Arabidopsis thaliana: one gene and its partner. The protein of the gene in region 1 purifies or fractionates together with the protein of each later gene. This does not show direct contact. Each region holds a gene or a part of one and is shown on either strand. Other genes may lie near its edges.

Region 1 (7,646 bases):
TTTAGTCAAAACAGATATATTAATTGTTATTTAATACTTGAACTAATAATACGATGACAGCTGTCCAATTTAGATGAGAATAGTTTTTCAAAGTTTTTCCTACGAGGAACTCAATTCTCCTTCTCTTTTACTTTTTCTTTCTTCTCTCTTACTTTTTTTTTTTCTAATTTTTTTTTTTTGTTGGGTATCTCATTGAGATACTCCCAATAAAGATGCTCTTAGTTTTACTTTTATTGTACAGGAGTATGAACTTTCAACTATATATGAACCTATGAAAGTATGAAGTAAGACCGTATGAACAAGACTAAGTTACCATGTTATGTCCTTTGACCCAGTATGAACTAAGTTATTCACTGTATGGACTATATTAGGTGCCACTCCATATAGTCTTACATGTTATGAACAGGTAGACCAAAAACTCATGGGACTTCTTATGTATTTTAAAAAAAGGAAAATGCACAAAACACTATAAGGGGAATAGGAGCAAAGCTAGGCAATACATTTAACAGCAAATGGGTGACACCTAACATCAAATAAGTTTATTATAAATGAAATATTATGTGTACACTTATATCTTATAGTATTAGTGGTAGAATTAAAGAAACAAGAGGTTAGAGTAGGAGATCGAAAGTTAGCGTACGGCGTTGGTCTCTGGCAGACAAGACGCCATTATTAATTATGACCCAAAAACCTTCTTCGATCTAATCAATTCACAACACAACACTTACACACACATCCTCTTATTAATCTAATCAACTTCATCTTGGTTTTTATTATTTGTCATTTAAACAACAATACCCTCTCACTTCTTATCTTCTAGCTTCTTGACCCATTAAATAAAAGGTTACCGTCCGGATTCTTGGACCATTATTATAAATAACTCTTGTCTCCTCTAGATTACAACCTTTATTTCATTATCTCTAATTATACTCCTTTCCTTTTACTCTCTTTTTGTTATATAAAAACTTGTTCCAAAATTTAAGAGTAAAACAATTGAAAGTTTAAGTTCTATAATATATATATATATACATGTTTAATATAAGAAGTTTTTATATAATTTTATATTACTATTGTATTAATGGTAAAAACTGAAAAATGGTATCGTAACAATGTATAAAATCGCAAAATTACCAATCTAATGGAACATATTGTAGACCTATTTGGCCATTACACATCAACAAAAAAAACATAATAGAACAAATGGAATATTTTTTAAAAAGACTATGAACAGACAACATTTTAAAGCGATATGATAAGGAATTTCTTTGTTTTTCTTTTTTATCTTTTTAAAAGATAGTATGAAATGTGTAAGAAATGAGAAGTCGCTATTAAACTTTGTACAAATCTCAGACTCTCCCGCTTGTTACCAATGGCCTCTTCCTCTCGTGATTAACTTTTCCCCATTCCTTATTTATTTGTCTTTTGCTTTTTCATTTTTTCAATTTTTTTTTACCACACATTGCTTTCTTTCACAATCGATAAAGATCATCAATATATATACTATGTGTTAAAAAAAAGTAACAATTGTTGCTTTGTTAACCGCGTCTAGGTCGATAGGAACGCAGTAAACGTGACAACAGGATCATTCACTCTGCTTATAATAACACTTTTACTACTATAGATGTAAAATATGAAATTATCTTTCAGTTTACTATTGAGTACTAAATATTTAAACAGAAGCTTAATTTATTATACATTATGTTTTGTACTACTAACTATAATGTTTGTTCCACAACTATTATAAATAGACTCAGTTATATGTATAAGTTGCATTTATGTATCTTGAACGTTAAAGTTTGGTACAACTTTTGTTACGAGTACATCGAATACATTTACATTTTAATCGGCTTTTTTGGGTCCTCAGTCTTTAGATTTTTTAGCATATAAAGCAGTGAGAATTAAACTTGAAATGCTCATCAAGATCAAGCTATTATATTTAAAAATTAACTTTATAGGTTACATAAAGAAAAATTAAGTAACGTAGTTTACTAATAAAGCGCAAGCGTTTTAACAGAACGAGGTCCTTTTTTCCTAGTTAATTATGTTTTTGTTTTTTCTAATGTTTATGTCAGCTCGTTGACCATATAAAGCTTCCCATTCGTCCACGTGGATTTTCCTCTGACATATATGACCCCACGGGTGATTTTATATGATTATATATATCAATTTGAATCTTCTTTTTCCGTATATCATAAATTAATTCACCAAAAAAAAAAGTGAAAAATTTGCTACTAATAAATTACGATTAATAAATCTTTAAATCGAATAAAAACACAATGACAGTGACTCTACACATTACGATATTTTCAGAGTTTATGTAAAATTATGTTGTATTAACCAAAATCAAAGTACTAATGACGAAAAAAAAAAAAAAAAAAAAATCTTTTCACTTGTAATCATCGATGCTTGAAACCGAAAGGTGACAAATATAATTAATGGTCAACGCATTTATCCACCACTGAAACTTCCACCACCACCTCATAAGCGCGTGAATCACACGCTCTAACAGAGAGTATCTTTACTCGCATCCAACGAACAGGGATCAAAAGCGTGTAACTACACATTCAATAAGCACGTGAGTATAAGCTTTTTTGTAAATAGTACGTATGTTTTTAAAACTAAAGATTTTAATTAATTCATAGTTATGATTTCAATTTATAATTAATTTATGGAGATAGGAAATTAATTACAAAAGAAAAGATTTTTCCATTTCTGTGAATAAAACAAAGAAGAAGTACGGTTTCATTAATTTTCTCGCGCGCCAAACATCCGAATATTAAAAGACAAAATAAAAGCAGAGAGAGAAAATAAAAATAAAATTAAAAAAAAAACATAAAATCTTTTAATAAAAAAAAAGAAAAAAAAAAGAGGACAAGCGTGAAATAAAACCCTTCACTTTCTTTGGCATTTGTCTTCACTTCTTTTATCTCTCTTTCTATCTCACACAGAGTGAAGAATCCAGAGAGTCTCTAATGGCAGAATGAACAAAGGAATTAGCAATCATCTTCTTCTCGGAAGAGAAAAATCATGGCTTTAGAAGAGGAGGAAGAGAGTCAAAACGCACCGTTTTGTGTTCTTGATGGTCTTTTCTGTGAGGAAGAGAGTGAGTTTCACGAACAAGTAGATTTGTGCGACGAGAGTGTTGAAAAGTTTCCTTTTTTAAATCTGGGTTTGTCTGATCATGATATGTTGTGGGATGATGATGAGTTATCAACTTTGATTTCGAAACAAGAACCGTGTCTTTATGACGAAATCTTAGATGATGAGTTTCTGGTTTTGTGTCGTGAAAAGGCTCTTGATTGGATTTTTAAAGTGAAATCTCATTATGGGTTTAATTCATTGACGGCTCTTTTAGCTGTTAATTACTTCGATAGGTTTATTACAAGCAGGAAGTTTCAGACAGATAAGCCATGGATGTCTCAGCTTACTGCTTTGGCTTGTCTGTCTTTAGCTGCTAAGGTTGAAGAGATCCGTGTTCCTTTTCTCTTAGATTTTCAAGTAAGTTTCTCACTTTTTCTCAGATTCAATTTTGTGAAATTGCAGATTTTTGAGACTTGTGTTTGGTCTTTTTGTAAGGTGGAAGAAGCAAGATATGTCTTTGAAGCTAAGACTATACAGAGAATGGAGCTTCTTGTTCTGTCTACTCTTGACTGGAGGATGCATCCTGTGACTCCAATCTCGTTTTTCGATCACATTATTCGACGATACAGCTTTAAATCTCATCATCAATTGGAGTTCTTGAGTAGATGTGAATCTTTATTACTCTCCATTATTCCTGGTAATGTTTACCATTAGGTTTAGATCTCTTGAATCTACTTGATTTTGTTGTGGATGCTAAATTTTCTGTTCTTGGTTTCTTTTCAGATTCGAGATTTCTGAGTTTTAGTCCTTCTGTGTTAGCCACTGCAATAATGGTCTCTGTTATTAGAGATTTGAAGATGTGTGACGAAGCTGTATACCAATCTCAGCTCATGACTCTACTCAAAGTTGATTCGGTATGTGGTTACGGTGTCTTTGATCAATAAATGCCAATGTGATTAGTGTAAGGTTTAAGGATCTAGAACTGATTTTATCATCATTATACTTGAAACAGGAGAAGGTAAATAAATGCTATGAGTTAGTGTTAGACCACAGTCCAAGCAAGAAAAGGATGATGAATTGGATGCAACAACCCGCTAGTCCGATCGGTGTGTTTGATGCGTCATTCAGTTCTGATAGCTCGAATGAGTCGTGGGTTGTGTCTGCTTCTGCTTCAGTGTCGTCTTCACCATCTTCAGAGCCTTTGCTCAAGAGGAGAAGAGTGCAAGAGCAGCAGATGAGGCTATCTTCAATAAACCGAATGTTTTTCGATGTGCTTAGTAGTAGTCCTCGCTAATAATGTCAACAACCCATCAAAATGTGTCGGTTTAGTTACCTAAAATCTGTTTCCATGTTTTACATATTATCGGCTATATGGTTCTCGGTTCTTGTGTTTATGGACGGTTGCAAATGGTGTACGTTTCGTTATTTGATATTCTAAAAACAAAGTTCTTTTACATTAAAAGTTTCCGCTGGATCTTACCTTTTTCATGGCTTGATGATGATCTAATTTCGTCTCACAACCTCTGCATTTTGCAAGTAGAAAGATAACAGTCAAAGATTATACACAAACATTACCATTACACTATTGGCATTGGTCTAAAACATCACATACATGATTGTTTAGTACTTAGTACAGGTATGTGGAAATTTGTCCTTTGAAGTTTGAATTGAAGAGACAACGATTGAGTTAGTTGGATGACCAATAGTGTTGGACAACTAGAGAGTTTGTTAGCTACTCCTCCAAAGTTTTAAGTTTTATTTTTAAAAAATGTTCTAATAAATTTTGTTCTATTTTTGGGAGGTTTGATTTGAGAGGAAATGCAGAGAGACCAACACTTGGGTTGGTCCAAGTACTTGTGTTCAATTCAGTTGTGGTGAAAAGCAAAACAGGTTGGGATATACACATAACATTACGTACACATATCACTTTATCTACTTCTTGCCATTGCTATGTCATGTCATAACATTAAATAAATATACCTTCCATGAAGAGTCTTGTTATCACACAGGACCAAATAGCATTGAAGAGATTCAACAGAAAAAAGATATAAAGAAAATAAAATTAGATTGTTTTGGTTGAACTTGAGTGAATGTACCAAAACCAAACCACTCATAAACTTTTGTTCTGTCATCTCAGAGATCTTGTGTGAAACTCACATTAATACTTTCAAGAAAAAAATAGAACAAAAAGAAAACAGAAATTATGAATTCTAAAGACATAAATCATAAATGTTGAAGAGTCAATCGTTCCCCTAAGGCAAACATATGCAAATGGAGTTTACCAGTGTATCATTAAGACCTAATTAAGATTATTAGACCATGTACATAGGTGATATTTTTTAAGTATCACAAGTGCAAAAATTATTTTTATATTGACAAAACAATTGGAATGAGGTTGATGAGTATCAGTCCAGTGATATTTGTGATACTAGTATCATCTGACGTGCCATCTTCTGATTGCTCAGATTTACCAAAAACAAAAAAAATATATATATATATCTATTAAACAAACATTATAAATAATACTAAACATTTTTTAGTGATACTTTATGAGTATCACCTATAATCATGCTCTTAGTCGCTTCAGAACGATATTTTTTAGGATACTCTAATATAACAATTTTACAAATTTGTTCATTAGTTCATGTAACAAGTCAGAGGTTTCACACCAAAGTTTTCATCATCATTTCTGATTGTGATGAGTCCATTGAAAATCCAACATTTGATATTTTCCAATATTCATTACTAGACACATATGAGACGACTAAACAAACAGAGTCTTACAGTAGAAAATCTCAAAGTCTCAAAATTTTTGAAAAGTCAAATCATCGTTGACGTATTAGATCCTAAATCTTCAATCAAGCATGTAAACATTAACTAAGTATCATATGAAGTTCCATAATGTTTGAAATAAAATAGCACTCAGAATCTCAAAATGATGATAAGCTTAAGTTGGATCAACTTAAACTGACCCCAAAAAAACAACAATTCGCTATTCGCAGTTTTGTAGCTAGAATTTCTGAAAACATACATCACCATAATGCATAAGAAACAACAATGAAAATAAGTAACTATAAGCGTTGGTTTCTTGAGAATTGAAGATGGCATCACTAGATGATGACGTATTTACTATTTGTTGAGCCGTTTTGGGCCAAAGTTAACAAATGAAGATTGATACGGCCCATTTAGTATAAATTTTTACTGATGTCTGACGGGTTTAGAAGCACACGTGCATGCAAGTAGTATACACGTGGGTGTTTCACATGAAAGATCCTACTTCCTACATGTGTTGTTGACAGTACGGACAAGTCTTTTAGTTGGCGAATAAGCGGCTAAAAATTTTCAAAGTGAAGCCGTTTAATGCAGGTCGTCGGTCAAAAGTGAAAGGATGATGGATACTTTTGTCATTTCATGTATCTTCTATGTATTTGCCTTTCAATCTACTGAACTTTGTCAAAAGAATTTTGTGGTTTTTTATTTGCTACGTAAAGTTTAGATATTAACAAAAGAATCAACAAACTATGAAAAATAACAAAAAGATGAGACATTTAGTCATGTATAACTCTTTTTTTTTTTTCATATTTAACTTGCACATTATTATGATGTATGATGTCATAACAAAACAAAATTTGTACTTTAGTAACCACAAATAAATATATGTATTATGTTAAAAATCATTGTAAAATAAGAAATACATTCATACAACCATAAGTTTTTTTTTTAAGATCATAGTTCTTTAAGAGATTTTAAAAAGAAGAAATCACATTTTTAACCTTCAAAGTGTCATTGGTACACCTCGAATTTCTTTTACTAACATTTATAAACCATCAAAGTAATTTTACTAATTCTTTAAACCTCCAAACTAGTTTTTTTGTTTGCACCACTATAAAAAATGACGAAGTAATTAATTTTGTTGAATATAAATTCATATGATATAATTTATTTATATATATTTTTGTTGATTTTTGTTTTTTCAATCAATCTCGCAATTGATTTTTTGGATATGTTTTGTTTTCATAGTCGAACGATGAATAAACGAAGAAGACAAAGTTTTTTTGTTTCTTAGATTTTCATTAATTATAATAAACAATAATATTAATTTAAATGAAATTAAAAAGATCATATTAAACAAACATAAATTACAATAATATCAAGATGATCAGACTCAATGGTTTGGTTGGTGGCTCTTCCTCCTCAACCAAATGAATATTAAAATGCTAAAATTTGAATATTCCAATTTGGCTTTCTAAATTTTTAGTTTGTCTACGGTGAGTTATGAATAACAATTCTATATCTATTTTCTAAATAGAAGTAACAAAAATGAATTAACTTTATACAATTACACATTTAACCACATTGGAAGAGAATGGTATCGAACCCTTGCTACCAAGAGAGCTCGGCTAAATGGAACAACTAACACTCAATATGACTAACGGCAACAACATGAATATCTTAATAAATACGAATACAGTTTATCCTAAATGTTACTTATTATTTGTATATGTGTAGAGAACATATTCATACGAATATTTTTGGGACAAGATAACAATTTTCATTCCTGTAAA
Region 2 (7,248 bases), on another chromosome or scaffold:
ACATTCATATATGTTCTATTTCTCGTCACTATATATATCTTATAAAAGTAAAAGAAATAATATAATCTTAATAAAAATTTCGTCCAATAAATCTTTTTTTTTTTGCACCCTAAAAGTATTAATTTATTTTATTTTTGGATAAATGTAAGAAGAAAACAAATCATTGAAACTTAGTTTTGCATAGAAAATGTGGATGGAAACACACATATGCAACATTGATTTATGTTGAGATTTAATCTCGATTGTAATCAATTATGAATCATCTATATGTGGTTCTTAATTATGCTTAATTACTTATTCAGAGTTTCGAATTCCACTTTTTCTAGAGTTGTGATAGTAACGGGCAGATAAAAATATTATTGAAAACTTAACCATTTACAAAATGCATCTCTAGTAATATTTTATACTACTGAAATATAATCTGCATATGAACATCAATGTTGGTCTACTTTGTTTTTTTTTTCCACAAGTTGGTCCTTCTTGGTCTACTTTGTTTTGTGGCGTATATAAGTAACATATATGCTATGACTAAACACTGAATGAAAATGTATGCAAATTGATAAAAAAAAGGAGGCTCCTATCAAACCGACCAAACCGAAAATAATTGTCCTTACGTCGCCGTCCAGAACAATATTATCGAAGATAAATCCAATTTTGCTTTTGCGCCCAATATTAAATTTAAGGTAATGATAACAATTCGGATTGGGTTCATAAAAGCAAGTTATAATATACAATGAAATATACTTTTGGTGTGATGTATCTTACCTTTTCGTATGAACTGATTGCGTGAACGATTGCATCACTTATTTAGCCTAATAATTTTTCTAAAAGAGAATGATCCGATCCAGATTGGTTTAGATATGATCAAAATTGCAAGGAGGTTCGTTAGAAGTTCACCAGAACTGTTATTTACTTGCAAGGAGGTGGCCCGAGCGTTACAAACGCGATATAAAGATTAATCAATATGGATAAGAGTGACTATAAGCTCATACTCTTAGAATAACTTTGAAAATGTGTCGCATGATAATCGTTTGACTAGGTTTACGTTTTCTTTATACACTATTTTTGAATAATTATTCATTTAAATGCATTTCATGTATAATATTCTCTTTGTTTATTTTTGTTTGACTGTTTAGGAAAAACACACATATTAAGGTAAGCATATTAAAGTTGATTTTAAATGTATTATTTTGTGTGTTTTACAATTTCATATAACTTTAAACCAATGATATTCAATCATTTTTATTAAAGTTAACACTTCATCAAAAATAACAAATAAATGTTGCATAAAAAACCTTAAAAAATCAATTTCTTAAAACAAATTTATTTCCTAGAAAATCAAATAAAAAGGAACAGAGAGAATAGTAATTTATAGATGACTAATTGATAAATAATTTTTCATACAATGTAAATAAAGAAATAGTATAAAACATGTTAAATATTTATATAGATATATTTTCTAAACATTCATGTATCACGGAACGAAAATTGGTCGAGAGTAAGATACACAAGTCAAGATAAAGATGTGAAGTGTAAAATTTTCACATGAAGAAGAAGGGATTGTTGTCCAGTTTGCCATTTTTTGGATTTTTTTCTAAAAATGATAATTTTACTAAACTTTTACAATTTTGCCATTTTTAACATTTAAGATATACGTATTTACGATTTTTTTTTTAAACACGTATTTTATACCAAATACTAAACCAAAAAAAAACCCGACTAATTTTATCATAATGGGTAAAACACAAGTTAAATCACTTTTTTATACCTGAAAAATGATAAAATTTTAAAAACTATTTAAAGATGGCAAAATCTATAAATGCCATAAGAAGAATAGCAAAATTCGTAATTAATTCGAAAAACAATCGAAACCTTACAAATCATCGTAATTAAACACATGTTAGAGTCATTTTTGTATTAAAAGAAACCCTCATATATCAGAACAACCGAATTGGATACAAGATTACATGATAAATGATCGAGAATTGGCGAGTTATGTATAAGATATGTCAAAGGTCTTGCTGGACATTCGGGTTCGATGGCAATTTGAACACTTTCGATAAGTAACTAATAGAATTGGCCAAAGAGGTCTTATAAGGCTGGTTGACTAAGAGGGTCCCATGCATTTCTTTCACACTAAAATAGATAAGGGTCGGCTCTTTTGTAGGTCCAATATAATATGCGTTACTTTCAATTTCAAATTTTAGTTAAAAAACATTTCAAATTGTTCTTCTTCATATTTTACATTAATTTTCATAACGTTTTGAATGCGAATAAATCTAATGCTTATGTGACACAATGTCAGCCCTAGCTAGTCCCGACCTTCCTCAACTTGTCTCTATCACCATTCATGTCTCTCAAAGGTCCATTCATCCTATCGCCTAATAATTGAATATTGATTACTTTTATTACATAAAGAAATATAGAATATAATATATCAAAGTTAACTATAAAATTGTAAATTGTAAAATGTAAACCTTAACTAAAAGATGTATTTGATTACATCATCTTTTTTTTGTCTAAAAGAAATTGGGATGGACCTTTTATCTATTTGTATCTCTTCGTCTCATGGTCCGGAATAATAACTAAAATTTACCTAAAATTTCAAATTTCTTGGTATCATAAAATAACTACAATGCAACATTGACTTATACTTCATATCGCACGTATCGGATTTAAGATTTCTAGGGTTCCAATCTTCATGTTCGACTCTAGAACCAGAGGGAGAGCAATCCATCATGCTGATAATCACCCGCCAATCTCTCTTATCCTTATCTTTCTAATGACTAGAATTAGCTGCATATATATTGTTTGTTTGATATTGACATTGTATTTGTACACATAATGGCTTCTATGTATATATAAGTGCATGCATGAATCCGTGATGATGGCACACCTTAATTACGAACATAACTTTAAACTGTATTAATGATCGATTAGTTATAGATATATAATATATTGTTGTTTGCCTCCATGGTTAGCTAGTTTTTGACATGGCTTGATATGCTACTGATGTTTTCTAACGTTGCTGTTTATTGAATTGTATATATCATATAGTTTAATAATGTTGATGAATAAGCCGTGAGTGATATAAATTCCAAACTCATTTTCCACAAGATTCACACTAGATTTTGTTTTCGGCAGATTCCATGATTGTTGATAATCTTATCAACCAAAATTAGAGAGAAGGCAGATGAATATTTAAAGTGATGGGGAAAATTCAGTGTGTCAAAACCGACGTCGTTTTGATGACCAACAAACTGACGAACTGAAGTTAAACCGAGTTAATTTCAGTTTGAACCTAAACCCAGAGAAAACCATAAAAAAATGTAAATTAACGATAACCGATTAGAACCAAAGAGGGTAAATAAACCAAACCGATGTTCTCTTCTTCGGTTCTTCTCTTACCTAAAGAAAGAAACCTCGCGGGAAAGTAAACTGGGGGCAAAATCGGGAATCACTAAAAGGATATAAAGGCGGGAAAAAGAGCCGTTGCGAACCAAAACTCTCAAACTATGGCGCCAAACAAAAGACGGTGGTTGCGACTCTGCCCGTAAAATTTCTCGGGCACCTAAATTTTTATTCTTTTTAAATTTCCAATTTTATCCCTTTTTTTCTTCATCTTCTTCGCAAAGCTTTTTTCTCCTGAATATTATTTTGACTATTTAAACCCTCTCTTTATCTCAATTTCCTCTCATTTGTTTTTTCTCATTCTTCTCAACAACAAAAAAAATTCTTCCTTTCAGACCAAAAAATTTGACCAACCACAAATTTTTAATCTTTTTCCCCACTTTCATTTTATTCCGATTCCTCTTCTTCTAATTGGAACAAGTCTCTGTTTTTATCTCTCTGTTTTCTTTTTGGGTTTACTCTGTTTTTTCATTTATCTTGGTTTTGAGTTAGTTAAAGAGAGATGGGTTTTTCGAAGAAATCTCAATTCGAAGGAGGTTTAGAATCCGACGGGAAGAAATGGGTTATCGCCGGAATTTCGATTCGGGCTTCGTTGAAACCAGTCAAGACGAAACTCAGAGCGCCGCCGGAGATAGTGACCGAAGTTGAAGAAGATTGCTACAACGAAGAGGAAGAGTGTTCGACGACACCGACAGCGAAGGAAACGAAGATACCGGAGTTATTGGAATGTCCACCAGCACCGAGAAAACGACGGCCGGCGTTAAAATGTCGGAGTAACGTCGTTAGAGAGTTTTTTACGCCTCCTTCTGATTTAGAGACGGTGTTTCTACGTCGCCGTTAGTGAGATTTGAGTTTTTTTTAATATAGTTCTCTAGTTATATATTAGTTACAGGCCATGAAAACTTTGGTTATTAGACTTAGAGTTAAAAATATATGATAATGAATCTAATTATGATAATGCGTATCTTCCAAATTAGCCTTGTTCATCACATTTGGTTTCATTAATATTTTGGTTATACATATATCAACAAATAATCAGTCCAGATTTTATAAAAACACTAATTTGATGTAGAAAATTTTATACTCAGAGCCTTGGATTAAGCCTACGGAGACTAAAGGAGAAGTGACGCGAGCAAATCTTACCAGTTAGCTCAACTACCTAAATATAATAATAAAATTACCAATAATTTGTGACAAGTCCACACGGCAAGCTTTTGACTCTCCACTATACTCGTTTTTTTTGGGCAAATCCACTATACACGTTTATAGGTTTTTTTTTTGTTGTTGGTAAAACTCGTTTATAGGTTAATAACTTAAACTATGTATTTGCATAATTATTGTTTCCTTTATCTAATGTTCTAGATGTGGGCCAATATAGTTTTTATTAACAAATAATATGGTGGGATCTAATACAAAAATCTTTAATTTCAAATAAAAAGAGGTAAATCATACTATTTGGAAAGAGAAGAAATCAACAATTTTATAATGCACACATGTAATGTTTTTTATATGCTTTAAAAGGATTCTGAAGAATTTCAATGCATGACTTTTTTTTAAGGAGGCCTCTACTTCTAAAGCCATCCCAACAAATATGATACTTTCTTTTTTCAGGTTAAAGAGCTTTTTGCGTGCACAATTGCACACTCACTAAGTCATTAGTATCTTTAATTCATTGACCACTACTTTGTATTGTAACAAATTAATTAAATAAACTCATAAGACATTATGATTAGTAATTACTCATGCTACGCACCAATAGTACTATTTGCAGATTAAATGTGTTGCATGCAAGTAAGTCACTAATTCTCAGTTGTGTTCTTGTGGATTGAGTCATGAAAAGGACAAAATAGGGTTCAGAGAATAGCGGTGCGATGGGAGAATCCAATGTGGGACTTAAGGCCTTGTTTGGTTCCTTTACGAGACAACGACCAATCTCGTGTTTTTTTCCTCTTTTTTTTGAAATGCCAAATACAAGAGAAATATTTGAATAGAAGGAGACTATGACGATTGACGAGTTTGGATCATTCTTGTGAACGAGTTTATTTCACTGTCATGACTTTAGGAACTATAATACATTTCTTTTCAGGAAAAAATTATATTGCCTGCCGAATGTACTAGCAATTCAAAATGAGAATCCAAGTTTGAGGATTAGGTTCACCTTTCACAAGTCTGTAAATTTGTTCTAGTTAGCAATTCCAAAACAATAGCTTTTAGTGTCCCAACTGATGATAGCCGAATCTTCCATTTTAGGAGACTTTAAAAGATTAAATTCTAAGCTGAAAGTGCGGATGAAGTAATATAAATTGCAAGGAAGAAAAGACACAAGAATTTTGTTAACGAGATTCGGTTTTTCCTACTTTCCGGGAGAAGTTTAGATTCAATTTCAGTAGAATAATAAAACAAATTACAACAAATTTGCAAACGCGTAAAATAAGCACAAATCTCTTGATTTACCGCTCTCTTTTAAAACGTGAAACCTTAAAGATAATTTTTACTCTTAATTAAATTCCTTCAAAATCTAGATTTAATCAGGATAACACCTAACCCTGAACTAAACTATCCTTAAATCTAGACTTCAAAGCAAAACCACTTGATCACACAAGCACAAACCCGCAAAACTAAGTTGCACACAATCTTACAGAAAGTTCTCAAAGATTTCTTCTTTATATCTCAGCTCTCTTGCTTCTTCAAAACGTCTCCAGCTTCTCCGTATATATCCAAAACGATTTTTTAATCATTATAGGAAAAGATTTCCAAATTCCATAAGAAAAAATAAATTTTTATTTACATTTTCCTTTTTTCTCATTGAATTTCACGTTCATCAAGTCTTCCAAATCCTTCTAAGTCATTTTCCTCTTTTGATTCATCATCTAAACATATTCCAAAAATATATTTTCAAATTTTCTAGTAACCGACACTCACACAAAAACATTCGCATCCTGAATTACTTCTTAAATCATTTAGCAACTCCATCAAACAAAAATTTGTATACTATTAAACTCATTCAACGACTCCATCAACAACAAATGCATCTTCATAAGAATCTTTCAAAATGTGTAATTTCACTTTAAAATGCATGTTTTGATTATTCATTGGATCCGTACAGATATAAGGATAAACAAAGAATTTAGTACGTAGGAGTCGAAATGAATAACTTATTAATAGAGATATTATTGTTACTTCTTGACTAAAAGGATTTTTTTTAAAAGAAAATAATAATTTAAATGACGGATATCGTATTGAATTGATTTTTTATTAATTCATCTTTTTTGTTTCTTATTTCATCTTCCATCATTTAAGAAAACACAAACATTTTTCAGAACTAACGACTCAAGAATCAATAAGATCATGTTATATATCAGTGTCCAAATCTTATATAATAACACATACAATCAATTCCAAATTTATATAATATGTAAAAGATAATGATTGAACAAGATATTTAGAATCCAAGAAGTGACTGATTATTCTGATTATCCAAGAAGATAAGATAATTATTAATTTGTAAATTATAGTTTAAACGAATCCAAGAAGTGACACTAATTAAAGGTAAACAATAAATTTGCAAGGATCAAGATTACGTGACAATTTCACGATGCCTAAGTCAGTTTCTCAAAGGTAATGATGAACTCGAACTGGCCGTCTTCTAACTAGTTCATCTAATTAACTAGTATTTTAGATACTTTCGTATTGTCTATTGTGTGTGTGATAAGATGTGCATACATATTAATAGTTTTGGTTTTATCATTCTTTTGTACTGTCGAAGTTTTGGTTCTCTTTTATTTGGATAGAGACATACATTTGTGACTTGTTCTTTGTCTATATAGATATGATAGT

Evidence for each region. Proteins that work in one complex are often made in the same cells at the same time.
Region 2: the proteins of CYCD3;3 (region 1) and AT5G40460 purify together in Arabidopsis thaliana (affinity purification with mass spectrometry, with the first as the bait; one large-scale study listed by BioGRID). This does not show direct contact.

Annotation. Positions count from the first base shown.
Region 1 is NC_003074.8:18,562,051-18,569,696, reverse strand, and holds CYCD3;3 (CYCLIN D3;3), read left to right. Parts: upstream 1-2,862; 5' UTR 2,863-3,027; coding exon 3,028-3,498; intron 3,499-3,576; coding exon 3,577-3,778; intron 3,779-3,864; coding exon 3,865-3,995; intron 3,996-4,093; coding exon 4,094-4,375; 3' UTR 4,376-4,563; downstream 4,564-7,646.
Region 2 is NC_003076.8:16,198,552-16,205,799, forward strand, and holds AT5G40460 (cyclin-dependent kinase inhibitor SMR3-like protein), read left to right. Parts: upstream 1-3,590; 5' UTR 3,591-3,913; coding exon 3,914-4,252; 3' UTR 4,253-4,807; downstream 4,808-7,248.